Regions from separate parts of the Mus musculus genome. Here all the other regions are reported to be linked to region 5. The links are microRNA targets in miRTarBase. Many come from high-throughput screens and were not tested one by one. Region 5 holds a microRNA gene; each other region holds the end of a gene's coding sequence.
What was found. The annotated mature microRNA mmu-miR-3059-5p reads UUUCCUCUCUGCCCCAUAGGGU and lies in region 5 at 2,275-2,296, shown strand. An mRNA with a match to its seed (bases 2 to 7 or 8) in the 3' UTR can be bound and repressed. Matches are read on the target gene's strand: a 7mer-m8 pairs with bases 2 to 8, a 7mer-A1 pairs with bases 2 to 7 and ends in A, and an 8mer does both.

Region 1 (3,301 bases), not on the chromosome of region 5:
CTTTAGATGCCTTACAGGTAATTCCCATGACTGCACTTCATTATGGGGTCATTCTTTAGAATAGTTATGTGGTGGACTGGCTGGATTTGTGTGTCAGTTGACACAGCTGCAGTTATCACTGAGAAGGGAGCTTCAGTTGGGGAAATGCCTCCACGAGATCCAGCTGTAAGGCATTTTCTCAATTAGTGGTCAAGGGTGGAGGGTCCATTGTGGGTGGTGCCATCTCTGGGCTGGTAGTCTTGGGTTCTATAAGAGAGCAGGCTGAGCAAGCCAGTGGAAAGCAAGCCAGTAAGGAAGATCTCTCAATGGCCTCTGCATCAGCTCCTGCTTCCTGACCTGTGTGAGTTCAGTCCTGACTTCCTTTGGTGATGAACAGCAGTATGGAAGTGTAAGCTGAATAAACCCTTTCCTCCCCAACTTGCTTCTTGGTCACGATGTTTGTGCAGGAATAGAACCCTTACTAAGACAGGTGGCATAGTACAGATGTTCTACAACTTATTTAGTAGGTCCTCAACTTGTGAACATCCATTCGGACATACCCAGGCACAGTTCTGTGGAAGAGACGTGGGACAGGCCGCTACCTCTGTATTCAGCACATCTGTCTTCGAGCCCTTTATACAAGGGTCTTGCCTTTTCTGTTTCAATTCACTGTAATGTTACTGGTATAGTTCTCTGAACAGAACCTCTGAACTGTCCGAGTGGCAGATGAAGGTAGTAAGACTGGATTTCACCACTCGTTTCAATGTCTGGCACAGGTTTGACACTTGGTGTGTGTTGAATTGATAAGGACAAAATAACTAGACAAGAATAAAATGAAAGGTTAGGATCTCAAACTTCCTACAGTTAGAAACCAGGTCTTTGTGGGTTAGTGCATCAACATTCTATGTTTTGTACTTCAGATCTAGAAGGGAATTGATTTTTTTTCCTATGGCAAAGTGGCAAAATAAATGCAAAATCTTGCTTTGCTTGAAGTCTTCTCAAGGACTTTCACAAATGAAGGGAGAAAGAAACCATAACACTGAAAACTAAACAGCAACCTGGAAGATTAAATAAGCAAGCTGAAAGCACATTTGTATTCATTTGGGTTATAAAGTTGAAATACATGCCAAATCCAGTTTCTATTGCTACCCCCTCTCTGGAGGATCCCTGTTGGGCAGGCAGCTGGCCAGGTGAGGGAGTGACTTCATCTTTGCCGAGCCTTGGCATGGAGCGTTTCTTCTAGGTAGTTCGGGGAACATAGTAACGTCCAGAGGTGACATGAAGCAGTCTAATGGCAAAGACCCTGGGAATGAGCAGACCGAGGAAGAAATGGAAGTGAGTCTGACTCCCACAGAACACTGCACACAATAGTACAAGGCTTCCACACAGTTCAAGAAGAGCAGAGCTGGGAATGAATTTATGAGCACGGTGAAAGAGAAAGTTTTGTTTGACTACTGCTAAGAATGAAGTTTCCAAGCACTTTCCTAGCATTTCCAGAACCACACAGTCCCAGAGCCTGAGCTGCAGTACTCAGGAGATGCTGCAAGTGTGCGTGCTTTGCTCCGTCTTTGGGGACAGCGAGCTGAGAACTGACACCAGGGTCGGGCAGAGGAAGAAAATGTTGTATAACTGCCTCACATCCACCTCCTTACGATTTGTTTTCATTTTGAAATAGGGGCTCCCGAAGTTGCCCTGGCTGGCCTAGAACTTGGGATCCTCCTAGCCCAGCTTTTGGAGTAGTTGAGGTCACAGGCATAAACCTTCTTGCTTCACTTCTGTCTCTGGCTTCGAGCCCACAGTAACAGTTCCACACTCAAGAGGAAATGGTAGAAAACGACCACTTTCCTCTTTCCTTTATCATAAGTAAAAACAAAGTTAAACATTTTTATTTGGACACTTACTTCCCGCACCATTCCTGGCACATCACATAATTCCAAGTTGATGAATATGAAAAAAGTATCTCTGATGCATTATAGAAAGGCACACAACAGAAACTTGTGTGCTTTAGAAATGTTTCCTCTCTGCACAGAGAAGGAGGCCTGACCTGGAAGCCAGGCCAACTTTCACAAAACAAGCCTGGATGTTGCGAAGGACAATGTAAAATAAGACCGTATTTTCATTATTATTTGGGAGAAGAACAGTAGAGATATTTACATTAATCAGCTTTCTAATGGACACTAGCCAAGCACAATTAATGCTACAGTGAAAACTGGGTATCCCGGGCATCATCTGAAAGCAGAATGGTTTTAGACCATGTCACAAATGATATAGTGGCTCAGCTAACACCAGACCTTGCCTTCAGGGTTATGTGGCTGACCTTGCTCCAGAATGTTGAGCTTTCACAGGTCTGTGAGCCACTAATGACAGAACAGGCACTTGGCCTGCTTTTGAAAAGGTTTCTATGTTTGTTTGTTTTAAGACAGGCTCACTATGTATGTATAGTCTTGGCTAGCCTGGATCTCACTTTGTAGACCAGACTGGCCTTGAACTTACAGAGATCAACCTGTCTCTGCTCCCCATATGCTGAGATTAAAGCTATACATCACCATTCCCAACCTTCCTTTCTAATAGTAAGGGCACAGCGAAGAGCAAGTGAGACTGTTGGTTCATATGAGAAGTCAGACATCAAAGGGATAAGGCTATTGTGTCCCTCTTTAACATTCAGTACCTACACTCACCTCAAGCCTTCCTTTCAGGTGTCTGTCTACCGGCATCCTTTGAAGTTTGTTTTTGATGCTGTAGATGGAGGCTCTCTAGCTTCTGCAAGTCTTCTGTAAGGCCGTTTCTAAGATCTGTGTTGCTTCCCAGAAAACCTTTCACCACATCCAGTTGATTTGAGATCTGTAAGAGGAAAGTGTACAAAATGCTGCTTAGGATAATTACTGTAACAGAATTCAATTAAAATGGAACAGTGTAATCTCAAGATTGGTTCCCAGGGCTGCAGGAGAAGCTCGGCAGCAGGAGCACACTTGGCATGTGCAAGGTACTGCCTTCCAGCTTCACTCTTGCCCTAAACCACCTGTTCTGTTTATATGCCTACTACAAGACAGAAATGCGGACTACTGGCAAGCATCTACACAGAGGTTGAGTGGATGGCATTGTGAAGAAATACTGAACCAAGCACACACACACACACACACACACACACACACACACACACAAAAGGTACACTTAGCCAGGCATGGTTTTCACACCTCTTAAAGTCAGCAGTTTGAAAGCTGAGGGAGGAAAAATGAACACAAGTTGCAGGCCTATACCAAAAAATAAGTAAGACAAAATAAAAAAGCACCTGCCACGCAAACCAAACATGATCACAGAAACA
Region 2 (3,301 bases), not on the chromosome of region 5:
CTGGCCCCTCAGGTTCACCTACCACAGCAGTGGCCACCGTGTCCATTTGGAGTCCAGCCTCAGAGGCTCCTTTGCCTGAGGCCCAGAGAGCCGGCCTAGTGGCTTCTGGGCCCTCTCTCACCTCAGCCCCTTATGCCATGACCTATGCCCCGGCTTCTGCTTTCTGTTCTTCCCCTTCAGCTTATGCATCTCCAAGTTCCTATTTCAGTGGGTTGGATCCCTACCTTTCGCCCATGGTGCCCCAACTTGGGGGTCCGGCTCTCAGCCCCCTCTCAGGCCCCTCTGTGGGGCCATCCCTGGCCCAGTCCCCCACCTCCTTGTCAGGCCAGAGCTATAGCACCTACAGTCCTGTGGACAGCCTGGAATTCAAGGACCCCACAGGCACCTGGAAATTTACCTACAATCCCATGGACCCTCTGGACTACAAAGATCAGAGTGCCTGGAAGTTTCAGATCTTGTAGAAGGGGCTTCATATCCCCCCTTCCAGCGGAATCACTCTTTCTGGACTCAAGCTGTCTCCTCCAGCTTAGATTCCAGGAGAGTAGCTCTCAGCAAGCAACAGCAAGTAGCAATCCTGCCAAAGGCTGTGAACCATTCAGCCTCAGGTGTTTCCTACCCTCAGCTCCTTTAGAGAGCTTAGCCCCTTTACAGCATACCCCAAGCAATGAAAGTGGCTCCTTCCTCTCTCAAGACAGCCCAGCAGCAGTCAGTACAGGTCATGACTGATGTGCATATCTGATGCTTTTCCCCAGTCTTCCGTAAAGGTGCTGAGAACTTGCTCTGGAGAAAAAGGAAATCTGTCTTGCAAATGACTTGGAGAATGTTTGGCTTAGAACTCCGGGTGCCCTGAGCCAGGTGTGTTGACTGACTCAATGGTCATAATCCCAGCATGAAAGAAGATGAGGCAGGAGGATTGCTGGGAACTTGAGGCCAGCCTGGACTACAAAGTGAGACCTCCAAATTCATTTGGAAAACGTATACAGTTAAAGTTAATAAACATCAGGTTTACATGGTAGGTTTAGGGGATCATTCATTTGAACATGTATATATGATTTAAATGTATATATGATTTATGTGTCTGTCTGTGTGTTACAGACATGACCACTAAACTGAGCTGGGATGCTGTGGCTTGTATAAAAACAAAATGCAAAAGAAGCTTGATGTGGATATTGGGGAGGACTTGAAAGATAAATAGAATGTTCTAGAGCCCAAGATGCCCCCGTCAGAGGTTCCTAGGGTTAGATTGAGGGGGCACAAGTGATGAAGTCTTCCAGATGCCTATAGGAGTTGAATCTCAAGAGGCTGGAAGTCTTATTCATGGGTATACCTGGGTAAAGGACTTTTAGAAATCCATAGAGTATGTCTAATGTCTTAGTTAGTCTTAGTCCAATGCCTTTCTATTCCTGCACAAACATCATGATCAAGAAGCGAGTTGGGGAGGAAAGGGTTTATTTAGCTTATACTTTTTACAATGTTGGTCATCACCAAAGGAAGGCAGAACTGGAACTCAAGCAGGTCAGGAAGCAGGAGCTGATGTAGAGGCCATGGAGGGATGTTACTTACTGGCTTGCTTCCTCTGACTTGCTCAGTTTGCTTATAGAACCCAAGACTACCAGCCCAGGGATGGCACCACCCACAAGGGGCCCTCCCGTCTTGATCACTAATTGAGAAAATGCCTTATAGCCGGATCTCATGGAGGCATTTCCTCAACTGAAGCTCCTTTCTCTGTGATAACTCTAGCTTGTGTTATCAAAACCAGCCAGTACACCCAATATTCTTTTTAAAAAAGATTTTATATGAGTACACATTAGCTATCTCCAGACACACCAGGAAAGGGCATGGATCTCATTACAGATAGTTGTGAGCCACCACATAGTTACTGGAAATTGAACCTAGGACTTCTGGAAGAGCAGTCAATGTTCTTAATTGCTGAGTCATCTCTCCAGTCCATGGACATATTCTATTTCATAAACCAGGAGTGATGGCACATGCTTGTGATTTCAACACGAGGGAGGTAGAGGCAGAAGGACAATGAGTTCAAGGTCATTCTAGGCTACAATGCAAGTTTGAGGCCAGCCTGGGCTACATAAAACCCTGTTGCACTCCCACCCCTGCAAATCCTTCTTTCCAAGCCACAAGGCTGATAAGGCAGATGGACATAGAATGAGGAGGTCAGGAGTTCCCCTCATTTAATGTTAGCTTCTCTGTTCTCTTCTTTCCTTCTTACTAGCCTATCAGGTCTCCCTTCCCTGGCTACCCAGAGTGAAACTGATTAAAAATGTGGATCCCACTTACATCTGGGTGTTTTTTTTTCCTCTTTGTTTCTGTGTGATTTTTTTTTTTTTTTTGGGGTGAGGGGCAAACTTGTTTAGGTAGAAAGAAATTAAGATTTGCTTTGTCCTTTCTGCCCATAGTGTGCTCCTGGATATTTTCTGTTTGGCAATGCTTTTCTCCGTATCTTCTAAAAGTCAGCTAAGGGGGAACACAGGACCAGGGCAGCTAGAGAAGGCCTGGGATCCCAGCCTGGGAGCTGAGGAGGAGGATCTCAAGTTTAAGATCTGCCTAGGAAACTTAATCACAGATACTTTTTAAAAATTTTTATTTTTTCTTTCTTTTTTTTCATTTTTATTAGATATTTTCTTCATTTACATTTCAAATGCTATCCCAAAAGTCCCCTATACCCTCCCCCCAACCCTGCTCCCCAACTCACCCACTCCCGCTTCATGGCCCTGGCATTCCCCTGTACTGGGGCATATGATCTTCGCAATACCAAGGGCCTCTCCTCCCATTGAGGATGACTAGGCCATCCTCTGGTACATATGCAACTAGAGACACAGTTTTGTGGGGATACTGGTTAGTTCATCTTGTTGATCCTCCCATAGGGTTGCCGACCCCTTTAGCTCCTTGGATACTTTCTCTAGCTCCTCCATTGGGGGCCCTGTGTTCCATCCAATAGATGATTGTGAGCATCCACTTCTGTATTTGCCAGGCACTGGCATAGACTCACAAGAGATAGCTATATCAGGGTCCTGTCAGCAAAATCTTGCTGGTATATGCAATAGTGTCTGGGTTTGGTGGTTGACTGCCCCACCGGGGGATCCATTCCATACACAGATATGTTTTAAAAGAGTGTAGGTCAGGATACAACACCTGCCTAGAATCTCCCAGTGAGGGGCTGAGGGTGTGGCTCAGTGGTAGAGTCCCTGCCTAGAATCTCCCAGTGAGGGTCTGGGGGTGTGGCTCAGTGATACAGTACTTGTCTAGAATATTGAAGGCCCTAGGTTCAGTTCCTCATAGAACA
Region 3 (3,301 bases), not on the chromosome of region 5:
TAAAAGACACGGAAAACCGTGTGGCCCTCCACGCTCTGACACGACCTCCAGCCCTTCTCCTCCTGGCTGCAGCCAGCAGCGGACTGCGCTTCATCCTGGCCTCCTTCGCCCTGGCCCTCCTGCTGCCCGTGTTTCTGGCTGTAGCCGCTGTGAAGCTGGGTTTGCGAGCCCGATGGGGCTCTCTGCCTCCACCAGGCGGCCTGGGAGGGCCCTGGGTGGCTGTCCGTGGCTCCGGCGATGTGTGTGGAGTCCTGGCTCTGGCCCCTGGTGCCAACGTGGGGGATGGAGCCCGAGTCACCCGCCTCTCTGTCTCTCGATGGCACCGTCGCAGGGGCGTGGGCAGAAGGCTGCTGGCCTTTGCCGAGGCTCGAGCCCGAGCATGGGCTGGAAGTATGGGGGAGCCTCGGGCCCGGCTCGTGGTCCCAGTGGCTGTAGCCGCTTGGGGGGTGGCAGGGTTATTGGAGGCCTGTGGCTACCAGGCAGAGGGAGGCTGGGGCTGCATGGGCTATATGCTGGTTAGGGAATTCAGCAAAGACCTGTGATTAGAGACCATGCCCACTGGATAGATGGGCAGAGAACCAGCACCTAAAGAACACCTACTGTGTGCCAGGCACTTTACATCCCCCCCTCAGTGTCTACCTAGTCTGCTGGGCTGATAGTGAAGCACCGAGGTTGATGGACTTACATTCCCAGTGTGCCTGCCAGCTGCAATGAGGACTCTAAACTCAAGTAGAACAAATCCCTTCTTGGTCTTCTGGGACCACTAGAGGTCACCGTGTCCAGTCCTTTGCCTCACCCCCACTGCCCCAGTCTGTATGCACTGAAAAACGTCGGGTTCTGGGTCTACAAAGCCCCTGCTGCCTGTGTTTGAGGTCTGGAAGGGAGATTTGAGGAAAGAGAGAGAGAGAGAGAGAGAGAGAGAGAGAGAGAGAGAGAGAGAGAGAGAGAGAGAGAGAGAGAGACTAAAAGTTAGAGTCTGTGACAGGGAACTCCCAAAGGGGACAGATCTTCTGGGAGTGGGTGGGGCCAGGAGCACAGTGTCTCCAAGCCCATCTGGTTTTTTACACTGTTTGTTAATAAACCCTGAAACTTCTGTGTGCCTGTCTCCTGTCTGATGCATTTTCCAGCTGCTCTCTCCAGACTCCCTCCTTCTGTCTGGCTCCTCCTCTCCGAAGAAGTTGACATTAATTGCTAGGGAAGTGTGTGTGTTGGGGGGGGGGGGGGGGCGCTGGGAAGAGGAGAAGCAGTGAGCTCACAGCGGCAGCCAGTCTTTGCCAGGCCTTCTGAGTCATGCTCCCCATTACCAAAGTTTTCCCCCTCACAGCTGCCTGGTGTGTGTGTGTGTGTGTGTGTGTGTGTGTGTGTGTGTGTACCCCCTCCAGACCGAAGCCTTGACCCCTCAGTCTCTCTACCCTCCATACCTTTGTTCTGGGAACTGGTAATAAGTTCAGACACTCTTTTCTCGAATCGGCACTGGGAGCTTCCCATCCAGATTTACCACAGTGGGTGACAAATGGACAGGAGTTTTTCAGTTTCTTTTCCTGATCTAGGAAGTCCCTCCTAGTATCTGGCTTCAGGCCCTCATGCTACTGCAGGATTCCCCAAAATCTGTCCACTCCCAGCTGCACTTACTTGCCTGGCTGGACAATAAGAGGAGGCAGAAGGGTGTGCCCTCAGCCCTGTCCCCCAGACACCCAGGCCTGCCCCTTCCCAGAGCTGCCATCCCCATAAGCATCTCTGAGCACGTGGCCCTCTGGAGCCTGGCTGGCCGCCTCCCTCCAGTGTGGGTGTTTGCACTTGAACACCTCCCTTCTGCCTGCCCCCCGCACCCCCCCCTCCAGCCTCAGCTGTGGCCAGCCCCCTCCCCCTCCTGTCCCCTGCTGCATCCCTGCAGCCTCTCTCCCTCCTGGCAGAGCCTTCAGCCCAGCCTGCTCCTAGCTGTCCAGGGCTCCTCAGCAGCTGCTTCCCTCCCTGGCTGCCTCCTCCTCCCCTCTCCTGCCCTCCTTCCCCTTTCACCCCATCCCCTGCCCCTGGACTCTGCGAACATGAGGGGCTTGGCCTGCCTCCTTGGTGAGTGATCCATTTCCTTGGGGGGGGGGGTAAGCACCTTAGGGGCCTGGACCCTTACCTCTGACCCAGTTAGCTTCTCCAGTTTAGGGGCTCATACTTGAGGGAGCCTGTTCTGGTCCCTGGTGCAGTGTGATATCCTGACATCTGGCTGGCCCCTCTAATCCCTGAGGGACCCAGCCTTCTGCACGTCCTGCCTAGCAGCTCAAGTGACCTGCCCTTTGTTGCCCTGTCATGTACTCTGTAGCGCTATCACTCCCACCATTCAATCTGGTCCCCAGTCCTGTTTTCAAGGGTCAGGCATCTGGGGCCCCACCCACCCCAGGGACCTGTAACTTATCCCAGCCTCCTCCCAAAGTCCATTCCAGCAGTGGGGTTTCTGACTCAGAGGTGTGAGGAATCTGACTGTGAATGGGTGCTTCCCACTGTACTGAGGCTGGGAGCCTGCACTGGGGAAAGGACCCCTCCCCTCTGATTTATCCTTCACTCTGTCCCCTCCAACCTCCTTTGCAGCAATGCTGGTGGGGATCCAGGCTATAGGTAAGTGTCCTGATTCTACACTTGGCCTCACCCCGCTCCAACTCCCCCCCTCTCCTTCTGGTCTCTGCTACCCCAATTCCACTCCCCAGACATTGCTGCCATCCAACAGGGACAATGAGTCTTCTCTAGAGTTAGCTGCACGCTGACCTATGGGAGAGGACCAAAGTTATGAGGCCAGTGATGGGGAGAGGAGTGGAAAGGTTATTTGACCCCCTTGTGGGGCAGAAGGACCGGGGATGCCTGAATTCCCTGGTTCACAGTGTCCTTCCACACAGCCCCCAGCATCTCTGAGACATTCCTCTCATTGCACCTGGGAGTCTGGGACCAGGGTCCAGCCTCCAGGGTAGCTGGCTTCCTGGTGGTAGCTTGTAAGGTAGTCCCCCTGCCTTGGTGTTACCGTAGACCCCCAGCCAACAGTACTCCTGTGTGGGGTCACAGCTTTTCCTTCATCCCTCAGAGCGACTCCGCCTGGCTGATGGTCCTCATGGCTGCGCAGGACGCCTGGAGGTCTGGCACAGCGGGCGCTGGGGCACCGTGTGTGATGACGGATGGGACCTTCGGGATGCTGAAGTGGCCTGCCGTGTGTTAGGCTGCGGAGGGGCGCTGGCAGCCCCTGGGGGTGCCTTCTTCGGGGAGGGCACTGGGCCTGTATGGCTCAGTGAACTGAACTGTCGGGGCAATGAGGGTCAGCTGG
Region 4 (3,301 bases), not on the chromosome of region 5:
TCATGCTTTGCAAAGAGCCTTTGCTCTTAGTGGGAATTTGTGTGGGAGAAACGGCCATACTTTGGGCACTGTGGCCCTTGGGGAAAGGCTCCTTGGTAGGGTTTGGAAAGACAGGAACAAGGCTTCTCTAGAGGGGGCTTGCTCTCAGAGGGAAGGAGAAGAAAGTGGTCAGCCCTAAGGATGTATGTCTGGGGGTCTGGGGTCAGCCCTGGGCTGTGACAGGCCTCTGGTATATGATAGGAAGGCACTAAGAAGGATCTAAAGATGCCCACTTGTCTCTCCCCACAGGTAAAAGTATGGTTTCAGAACCGGAGAACGAAATTCAAAAGGCAAAAGCTAGAGGAAGAAGGCTCAGATTCTCAACAGAAGAAAAAAGGGACACACCACATTAACCGGTGGAGAATTGCTACCAAGCAGGCGAGTCCGGAGGAAATAGATGTGACCTCAGACGATTAAAAGTCCAAACCCAATCCTACAAAAATGGACAGCACAGAGCAAGAAAGACAGGGAGAGGAGGGGAAGAAAAACCCTACAAAACAAAAACAAACTGCACACACATCCACCGAGAAAGGGAGAGAGGGAATCAGAGCAGTGACGCTCGCAGCAGACTTTGGACAGCGAGGGCACTGGACCGGGAACCGGCGCCGGGCCGGGCACCGCTTACAGGACAGCAGAGGACGGAGGCCCGATCATCAACATGCAACCCTCGTCTAAAGAGGCAGCTGAGTGAGTGAGAGAGACAGAGACTGGGAGGGAGAGAGAGGAATGAGAGAGAGAGAGAGAGAGAATGAATGATCCTTGTGAGGCAAAGGCACATTCTGACAAGGGGAGCTGTCAGTCAAATGCCAAACCAGGGAAACAAGATGATTGGCGGGTATTCCGCTTATCGAAGTCCATTTAGAAATGATAATGATTTTTTTTTTTGGAAAAAAAAAGGCACAGGACTTTTAATTTTGCACTTCACAGTGTTTCCCCCTCATCTTTAATTAGAAATAACATACAAAATTCCATGTCTAGCCCCATCCTACACCTGTTTCAAAACTTGAATTGCATGTAGCAGTTGTCGGGCGAATGGTGTCTAAAAACTGAATTGTAATTTTATTCCTCTTTTAAAGACAGGTTCTGTGTATTTTTATTTTTTATTTTTTTTCTGAGAAATGTTCAGTCTGTAAAAACACTTTTTTGATACCTTCTATTGTCAAAGTGATTGTGAAAGCTAAACGAAGTAGGCTCGGAGATAGTGGTCCTCTGACAGAGAAATGAGGGAGCAGGACTGGGATGGAGGGCGGGGGAGGGTGCCCCTGAGAAGAATCAGGACTCATGCTAGGGGTAAAAACAACCCACGATAAAAGACCCAAATTAATTCTATTTCTTGGATATTTCCTTTCCTAACATTCTGATACTTTAAATCACCAAGTCAACTTTTCCTTTTAGTGGTTGGAGAGATTGACTGCATCCAGCCACTCATCATAATGGCCATTCAGAACTTTTAAGTCTGTCTATTGCAAAAGTGGAAGGAAGGACTGTATTTAATGGGGTGATGGTGGCGTGGCCAAGGACATGGGAGTTTTCAAGCACTGAGTTTCTCTTCCAAGACCATAGACTTACTAAAGAGGGTTACAAATGCTTCCTTAGTGTCTTCTATACCAGATTGTAAATATTTTTGTGTTTTGTGTTAATTTGTTAGAATTCTAACACACTATATACTTCCAAGAAGTATGTCAATGTCAATATTTTGTCAATAAAGATTTATCAATATGCCCTCAGAGTAGTTGTCTTGGGAAACTGAAGTGGATCTTTACAAAAGTAACTCTTTAATTCGAATGTGGGCCTTCTCCAGCTAGGCTCCAGAGACCCTGACTCCCCGCCCACAAAAGAGCCAGACTGGTGGCTTTTGAGGGCTTGTATTTTAAAGAGATGTGAAGGGAGATGCTTAAGACAGCCAAACTCTTTCAGAAGAGGAAGAGGAGAGAAGCTGTCCAAGCAACTTTGCTGAAGGATTTTAGTTTCAACTCCAGGCTAAAAAACTAAAACAAACAAACAAACAAAACAAAACAAAAAAAAACCCTTCACTTTACTTCTGATTTCCTTTTCTTTGTAAAGTTTAGAACCTAGTTTTGGCCTGGAGAATATTCTTAGAACCCGAGGTCTGGGGCTTCTAACTTCATTTCTGACTTCAAACCCCTTCAGGACAAGTCAGCCTCCTCTTCTCTCTTTTCTTTTCTCCTTTCCTCTCTCTTTCACTCTAATCTGCATAAAGTGAGGGAGATGAACCCAAAGGCCCCCGAAGCCTTATAAGGCAAGCATTCTGAGAGATCTTCCACTCTTAATTTTAACATTAAAGTAAAAGTTGTAACCATTCTCAAAGAAAACTTCGCTCTTTCCCTGTCCTCCCCCTGCCGAGGGTATGAGGTTGTTTTTTGCATGCTTCATTTGCTTCCTATCCCGATAGGCTGCATTAATCAGTTTTATTTCCATTGATAGAGAAACCTCGTCTGTTCTGTTCGAGCTACAAAGCGTCCTGTGAGCTTTTGTGAAAGTGCAAATCAGTTTAAGCAATTATCATACCAGGAATATGAAGGGAAAAGAGGAGGCCTTGCCCAGTGGTCTCCTTTAATCTCTTAATCCACGGATCCAGGGGGGCTGCCTGGACATAATTTAGGACAATCTCCCCCACCCTTTACACTGTGATAAGGCCAAGTTACAATGCAGGGGCAAAAATACAAGCTTTGTTAACATCCTGCCTTGAAAAGTTAAGATTAGACATTCCGTGCACGTGTGGGGACTTTAGGGCACTATGGAATCTTTTCTTTCTGTTTTTCCTCCCCTCCTCTAAAGGAGAATTCATTCTCTGTTTCTCTCCCTCTTATTTTTTTTTTCTTCTTGCCCCTGTATCTCTGTTTATCACCCTTCTCCCCTTGGTCTTGGTCCCTGGGCAGACCTGGCTGCTCATACTTTGAGCTCACAAAGGCCGTTCCTCTGGAGTTTGTATTGTGGGTACCGGTAGTAGAGAGGTTTCAGGAAGATCCGGGCTTGCCTTCCACAGGGACAGGTGCAACTCGGGAATTCCACAAAGATGCGTGGGGCTTGGGCTGCTTCCACAGTGGGATGGTCCATCACTGACTGTTCTCCCTTTTGCTAAGAGCAGGTTACTTTCTTCATGCATCCCACCCTCCCAAACCTGGAATGGTTTGGATATAGAGTAGAGTATAGTCTCCTTACAACTGAGACTGACCCTTTTATTTAAAAAAGTACCATCTTGGAAAAAAGCTTTCTGCAGTAACCATAAACTTAAATTTAA
Region 5 (3,301 bases):
TTATTACATGCATTTAACATAAGTAGCTACTTTGATTTGAACCAAAATATGAATGCAGGTTGATTAAATTGAGCTTACTGTTTTTTAAAAAACACATCTAGTTACAGAAACACTTAACATCCACGAATGAACTGCACTGTCCAAAAAGTTTTAAGACAATTTAAGAAAACTAAACTTATAGTTCAGCAGCATTTCTACCAACATTGAGAAAAAATAGTTTAAATTTGAAATGATTACGACTATAAATCAAGCTTTAAAAAGATTTTTACAGACATTAGTTCATTAAATCTCCATTGAAACCTTGCTTTGAGTATATTAGAGGCATTCCCAAGATGACATAAAGAGTGTTGAGACACACATTTAAAATCAGTTAGTCTAATTCCTGGTGCCGAACCCAGCATTTCATTCACTTCTAACACTTTGTCTTTGCCAATTCACTGCAAGTTGGCCATGTCATGGAAATGGAGGGCATAATTCCAAAGAGAGCACAGTTTCCTGGCAGGAAGCTTTAAATAGATCAGGTGACACATGAGTTATGTAACACTTTTAAATGACTACATTTGGATCTAATACAAAGTCCAATGAAATGGACTAATAAGGAGACATAGCCATCACTTTTTAAGGGCACACTGAAAATACCTAGCATAATAGTTATTCATCTTTATACAATTAATTGAGATTAATGATGTAGATAATCAATGGTCACATATATACATATATATAATTTCTTAAATAAACTGTAAGTTATTCATTGGTGTTCTAGGTATAGCCTTTTAGGAAGAAATAGCACTGAGGAGAACACCCATCCTTTAATAGAAAACTTGGCCATGTTGATCTGGATGTATATCAGACTGACCAGAGAGCAGCAGCATTACCACGACTTAGGAGGGGACGTTTGGCATTTCTATTCAGATGTCGACGAGTGTCAGAGAGTCAGAGCCAGCTTGAACAGGCATATCAAATCCCAGAGAACTGGCAAGTGCTAAAAAGAATTACAGTGTGTTGATTATGCCTTCTGGAAAATTAAGTGTCAGATTCTTAGAAGCAGAGAAAATATATGAAGTCTGCTTGAAATATAAACCTTAATATAAGTCCCTACAAAAGCTAGCAGAAAAGCCAAGTCAGAAGTAATGCTATATCCTTCTAGAGTAATAGAGAGATCTTATAGTCAGCTTCATTAAAAATAAATCATCAAATTGTTAGTTTAAGTTTTGAGTTTATTTATTTTTGCTAAAGCTGAAGGAGGTGGGCGACCCTATAGGAGGACTAGAAGTCTCAATTAACCTAGACCCCTGAAATCTCTCAGACACTGGATCACCAACCAGACAGCATGTACCAGCATATATCGGTTGAGATGAGGCCCTCCCAACCCATATACAGCAGAGGACTGCCTGGTCTGGGTTCAGCTAGAGAAGATGCACATAACCCTCAAAAGACTGGAGGTCCCAGAGAGTTTATAGGAATTATGGGGTGGGATGGTGGTAACATACTGATGGAGACAATGGGTGGGGAGGAGAAATAGGATGGGAGACAGTCAGAGGGTGGACCAGGAGGGGAATAAAATCTGGAGTGTAAACAAACAAAGAAAAAAATAAAATTTTAAAAAGAGCTGAAGGAAACTCTAATTGATTCAAATAAGAATATAGAATTATTTGATACAACAATTTGAACACAAAGCTGTTCCTCAAATGAGGTTTTCAGTTTATATATTTGTAATTTAATAGAAAATGACATATTTTCATTTAGGCAGGGTTACTAATCCATCCATACAGATTTTACCAACATTTTAAAATAGAAAGTTATTTTAGGTATTAACTACACCCTGTGTCAATACAATGTTTTGGCACATTTGAGTACCTAATAGAAGTTGTTTCTGAAATTCCCAAATTCTTCTTGAATTTACAAGAAATGCTCAATTATATTGGACATTATATTATGTCTACTGTATTGTATAATTTAGGCTCCAAAATCAGAAGAATAAATTCAAATTGGAACTTATATTCATAGAAGCATGTGGCTGTCTTCCTAATTTAGAGCTTCATTTGGATAAAATCTGCTTTTATTCCTCTAGAATCCTTTTATTGCATAAAAATTGGAAACATTTCTTCCAGATGCCAACTATTTTATGTGCCTGATCCCCCCCCAATCGCCCCCATTTTGCTTACTCTTGACTTCCAATGTTACTCTTTAAACTTTAAATGTATTTCTATTGATAACAGGAGCTTTTAATTTTCTGTTTTAATTTTACACAGGTGTATCACAGGTGGTACGCCCTTTCCTCTCTGCCCCATAGGGTGTAGCTCTAACTACCCTCTAGGGAAGAGAAGGTTGGGTGAACAGCCTTACTATTTCTACAACTCAGTAATTATCTGCAAACACATTCTTTTCACTGTCTGGGTGTGCTAAGATTAACATATGCAGAACATGCTGTATAATGGTCCATCTTCCTCACTACAGTCCAATTGCAAAATCTAATTCAAGGTGCCAAAACAATTAATATTCAAATTCAAGTCTTTATTTTTTGTAAACTTGATTTTAAAATGTTCATGTTTGGTTGTAATGGTTTCAAATATGATGTCCCTGACATAGCTTTACTCCTTAGTATTTGGCAACTTTCACTGAGAAGACATGAACAAATGTCTCTTAACCAGTAGAGTACTTGACAGACAGGTAAAGATCCTTATATCCAAGTCTACCTTAGTGACCGAATGAGTTCATTGTGGTTGTATACAGGGGCTTCGATGACTCAAAGTCAACAACATTTCTGAAACGTTCACACTAGCATGGGTGAGAACTTATGAACTTCTCATTCCAGGAAGTTCCGTGTAGAGCTTGCTTAGAGCTATACTGCAGAGAAACATTTTGCCTCAGCAAATTTACTGTGTCTTTCTGATATTGAGGAAGAGATGTTATGAATCTTGAAACTTTCTGATCATTCACAGCTGCGCAAGTTTCTCTGTCTTCCTGAGCCTATTACTGTCTAAAAAAAGAATATTTTAATTCAGATGAAATTACTATCTACCTAAAGCTTAGTGATACGTGTGTGCGGGTGAGAGATTTTAATACAGATTCTCACAATCGGCACAAAGTTACTTCTTCATAAATATTTATAGGTTTATCAGTCTGACTTTTGGGTTAGGAATGCTTTTATTTTCATAAACAAGTCACCTTAAAGTAATAAACCATAACCCAAGGATATCTCACTCTCTCTTATTTTCACATCAGTTTGATGACTGTTGGGTACTCATTTCAGTTTCCAATCATCGGTGCTGACTTTTGTCTTTGAAACTACTGGATTTCA
Region 6 (3,301 bases), not on the chromosome of region 5:
TTTTAAGGACACCCACAATAAGGCTGGTTTGTTTGTTGTTGTTTTGTTTACATTTATTCCTGGAACAGAAACTAATTAATTGTCATAAATATTTCTCCCACAAGTTACATAATTACCTAATGAGACATGTTCTCATTTGGTTAAAGAATTACTGTTTTTTTTTCATGTCTATCTCTATATAAAAGCTTCTCAAATGCCATCTTTTCTATTAATGTAACAACCAAAAATTGTTTCTTCCAACTTTAAATGTGTATTTTCCATTAAATTAAAATGTTTAATATCTTAAATGAATTAAGACTTATAACACAATTTCCTGATAACCATAAAAGCCACTCTGGTGCATTAATGGATTCTCTTTAGCCCTTTGTCTTTTGATTTTAGAAAGTAATGAAAAATATAATAAAAATATTTTAAATCTCCAGATATTTGAAGTTTTCTAATAGGGTTCTATTTCTCATATTATTCCCATATTATAAAATGTAAATTGTTATTTCTATTTTGCTGTATATATAGTCACATGCATGTGTACAGGTATATGTACATGCACGCATATCAATTCTGAGGTCACATAGGAAATTCCTCTGTGAAAGGTTCTCTGAACAATACAGATGGAATCTTCAGAAGTAAACAACAACAACAAAACGCTTCCACAGCCTACTGCCATCTTAGATGCTTATAAACAGAGTCCGTGACCACATACTGATTGCCTGTTTATGGGTTTTCGGATGTGCACGGTAATGGAAAAAAACAAGACAATACCTCATAGAACATCACAAAGGCACCCAACTGAAAGATAAACCTCTGTCAAATAAAAGTCATGTAAATGTATTCCCTGAAAGAAAGAAAAAAGCCTCAGTGTTAAAATTAGAGTTAGACTTTAAAAATAATATTGTTTGAAAATATTCTATTTTCTGCTACCATGAAAACAGCCTTGGCATGGGACTCTACACATGCCATTCAGAAGGCAGGCTGGTTGCACTTTGCAAGGGTGGATTTTTCCATTGAATCTTTTAGCTTTGTATATTGTGGACTGGTTGTGAGGCATTGTAAAATGTAAAGGCAGTTCAGATAGGACGATTGTTTTCAGGCACACACAGAAAAATGTAATTTTGTACAAAACTTTCATTTTTTTATTTGCGAAATTAAAAATATGGCATTTTATATATATAAACTTCTATTCCTCTATAAATATAGATGATCTCATGGTGGTGAGAATAATAATAACAATAATAACAATAATAATGCATACCAAATCCAAAAACCAATGTCATTTTAGGGTATGACAGACATAGATAAATTTAGGTCCTATGTATGTATCGGCATTTGTGATAAACTCTTAAGGTTTAAACACTACAATCAGGAGGACTGCTTTTCTCCTCTTCTTCATCCATAACTAAAGTGAGTATTTTTAAATGGCTTTGAGAGATTTACATTTGACACACTGCCGTAAATCCAGACAGGAGCACACAAGATGGGATGCAGTAGGAATGGACACACTTCCCCTTCAGCATGCATGCCTAGGTCGTGTTTGTCTCTCTCACCCATCCGTCAGTCCACCGCCTCTGTCTTCGGAAGTCCAACCAGGCTTTCTGCGGGGGTGTGACTGTTTCTCCCTCAGAATGTGCTGCTGAGGAGTAAGCAAAGTGTATTGTTGATTGTGTACAACTTTTAGATTGCAAAGACACATCTAATTGCAGTTTGGCTAAAACCAGAAAACAGCGTTTCACTTGGAGTAACTCCACTTCACTGAAATCTCCTTAGGTTTCCATACTCTGTGTATGTTCTACTATCCTGTTAAGGAAGGTAAACCATTCCTTCACCAAGCTTCCCAGGCAACCTCGAGGTCTGCATTTCATAGAAGGGTAAAATCTAGAAGCAGGCAGCATCACAGGGGGAAGAAAGTAGGTTGCCAGACATCAGAATGCAATTAGAACTAATGTTTTATAACCTCTCTCTTTAGCCTCTCCCAACCCACAAAGCTTGCTGCTCTTTCCATGATGATGACCAGACCCAGAGCAAGTTCCAGATACTAGAGAGTAAAAATGAGCTCATCCATAAAAAGTCAGACTCTCCAAAGTTCGCTATCGGTCGGTTACTGCACTCCCTCTGAACAACTTAGGTGCAAGGAGAAAGACACTGGGCAAGGGACACCGGGGTACAGGGAGGCTGGGTCAACTGGCAGAGCCCATACTGGGGTCCTCTAATAAAGCTGGAAGGTGGATCTCAAATAAGCAGCATCAGGAAGTCACAGGGACAGCCATCCACACTCTACCGCTGAAAAGGGGAGGATCTGGAATGGGCGGGGCCCACCTCGGGATCTGGAAGCTTTACAGAGTTCTGCACCTTAAAATTTCCCACTGCAAGCAAGGAAGGGGAGGGGCGGGAGATGCTGAAGGAAATGACCCTGGAGAGGCAGGCCCATGCTCCCTTGACAAAGATGAGGGCACAGGGCAAAGCACTTAGTCAAGTGTGCTCTGTTTTACCTCCTCTGCAATCTGCAGAAAAGGGCAAGTGAGAAAAGCTCCAAATACGTAAATTGCCCTAAATAATTAAACATTTTTAAAAAGAAAAAAAAACTGCGTGTTCGATAGTCTTTAAATACAAATATACGTACAAAAATCTTACACAGGCTATTTACAATCATAAAAGCGTACAATCCTGGTATCAGAGAGGGCTAGAGAGATCGGTCCACACGCACATACACATACACCTCGATCAGTTGGGCCCTCTCGTTCCTTTACCCCAGGGACGGAAGCTTTTGCAGAACCTGTGCTGTTTGTTGGGAAAGGGGCCTGCAAAAGTCAGTGGCTGGCGAGGAAGCCTGGAGTGGCCAGGCTTGGCAGGAATTCCTTGGGGCCAGCTTCCAGGCGATGGCTAGGATCAGGCCAAAAAAGGGTAAGGTAAGAGTCTGGGTTTCAGACGGTAGTCTCCCCCTGTTTGCTGTTGGTAAGCCTCGTGTAGAACTTCCTCCAGGAATTCAGTGTCTTGCCGGACCAGATCCAGAAGCCCGATGTGATGCCCACAATCAGCGTCATGAGATACTTGATCATGAAGACTGTAAAGTCTGGGCTCATGGGCGGGTGTGGTGGGACTCCTCCACCTCCCTGGAGGTGAGGGCAAGGGATGGCATAACTCTTGCAGCTCTGGGCCACCCAGCTGCGCTCCCACTGGTCCCGAAAGGCCTGTTCATAGAAGTAGCAGGCGATGACGATGGTGGCCGGCACAGTGTAGAGGACACTGAAGACTCCGATGCGCACCATGAGCTTCTCCAGCTTCTCTGTCTTGGTGCCGTCATGCTTCA

Region 1: the mRNA of 1810030O07Rik is a reported target of mmu-miR-3059-5p. Seed matches in the 3' UTR shown: 7mer-A1 at 406-412.
Region 2: the mRNA of Crx is a reported target of mmu-miR-3059-5p. Seed matches in the 3' UTR shown: 7mer-A1 at 1,438-1,444.
Region 3: the mRNA of Nat14 is a reported target of mmu-miR-3059-5p. Seed matches in the 3' UTR shown: 7mer-A1 at 890-896.
Region 4: miRTarBase lists Emx2 as a target of mmu-miR-3059-5p. Seed matches in the 3' UTR shown: 7mer-m8 at 760-766.
Region 6: the mRNA of Fzd1 is a reported target of mmu-miR-3059-5p. Seed matches in the 3' UTR shown: 7mer-m8 at 1,178-1,184.

What each region holds. Positions count from the first base shown.
Region 1 is chrX:12,655,205-12,658,505 of GRCm38, forward strand. It overlaps 1810030O07Rik (RIKEN cDNA 1810030O07 gene), which reads right to left. Exons shown (of 7, transcript NM_175141.6): 6 at 2,658-2,820; 7 at 1-1,282. The coding sequence ends at 2,659. Among named protein-coding and RNA genes, the nearest start is that of Gm4984, 4.6 kb to the left of the region's middle.
Region 2 is chr7:15,864,940-15,868,240 of GRCm38, reverse strand. Crx (cone-rod homeobox) reads left to right here. Exons shown (of 4, transcript NM_007770.4): 4 at 1-2,294. The coding sequence ends at 461. Among named protein-coding and RNA genes, the nearest start is that of Crx, 13 kb to the left of the region's middle.
Region 3 is chr7:4,923,910-4,927,210 of GRCm38, forward strand. It overlaps Nat14 (N-acetyltransferase 14), which reads left to right. Exons shown (of 3, transcript NM_001358881.1): 3 at 1-1,097. The coding sequence ends at 542. Ssc5d (scavenger receptor cysteine rich family, 5 domains) reads left to right here and starts at 1,912. Exons shown (of 14, transcript NM_173008.3): 1 at 1,912-2,070; 2 at 2,581-2,607; 3 at 3,065-3,301. The coding sequence starts at 2,046.
Region 4 is chr19:59,463,592-59,466,892 of GRCm38, forward strand. Emx2 (empty spiracles homeobox 2) reads left to right here. Exons shown (of 3, transcript NM_010132.2): 3 at 289-1,766. The coding sequence ends at 456. Among named protein-coding and RNA genes, the nearest start is that of Emx2, 6.6 kb to the left of the region's middle.
Region 5 is chr10:101,770,430-101,773,730 of GRCm38, forward strand. Mir3059 (microRNA 3059) reads left to right here and starts at 2,263; the gene lies at 2,263-2,343. It also overlaps a transcript of Mgat4c not described here.
Region 6 is chr5:4,752,737-4,756,037 of GRCm38, forward strand. It overlaps Fzd1 (frizzled class receptor 1), which reads right to left. Exons shown (of 1, transcript NM_021457.3): 1 at 1,103-3,301. The coding sequence ends at 2,916. Among named protein-coding and RNA genes, the nearest start is that of Fzd1, 3.8 kb to the right of the region's middle.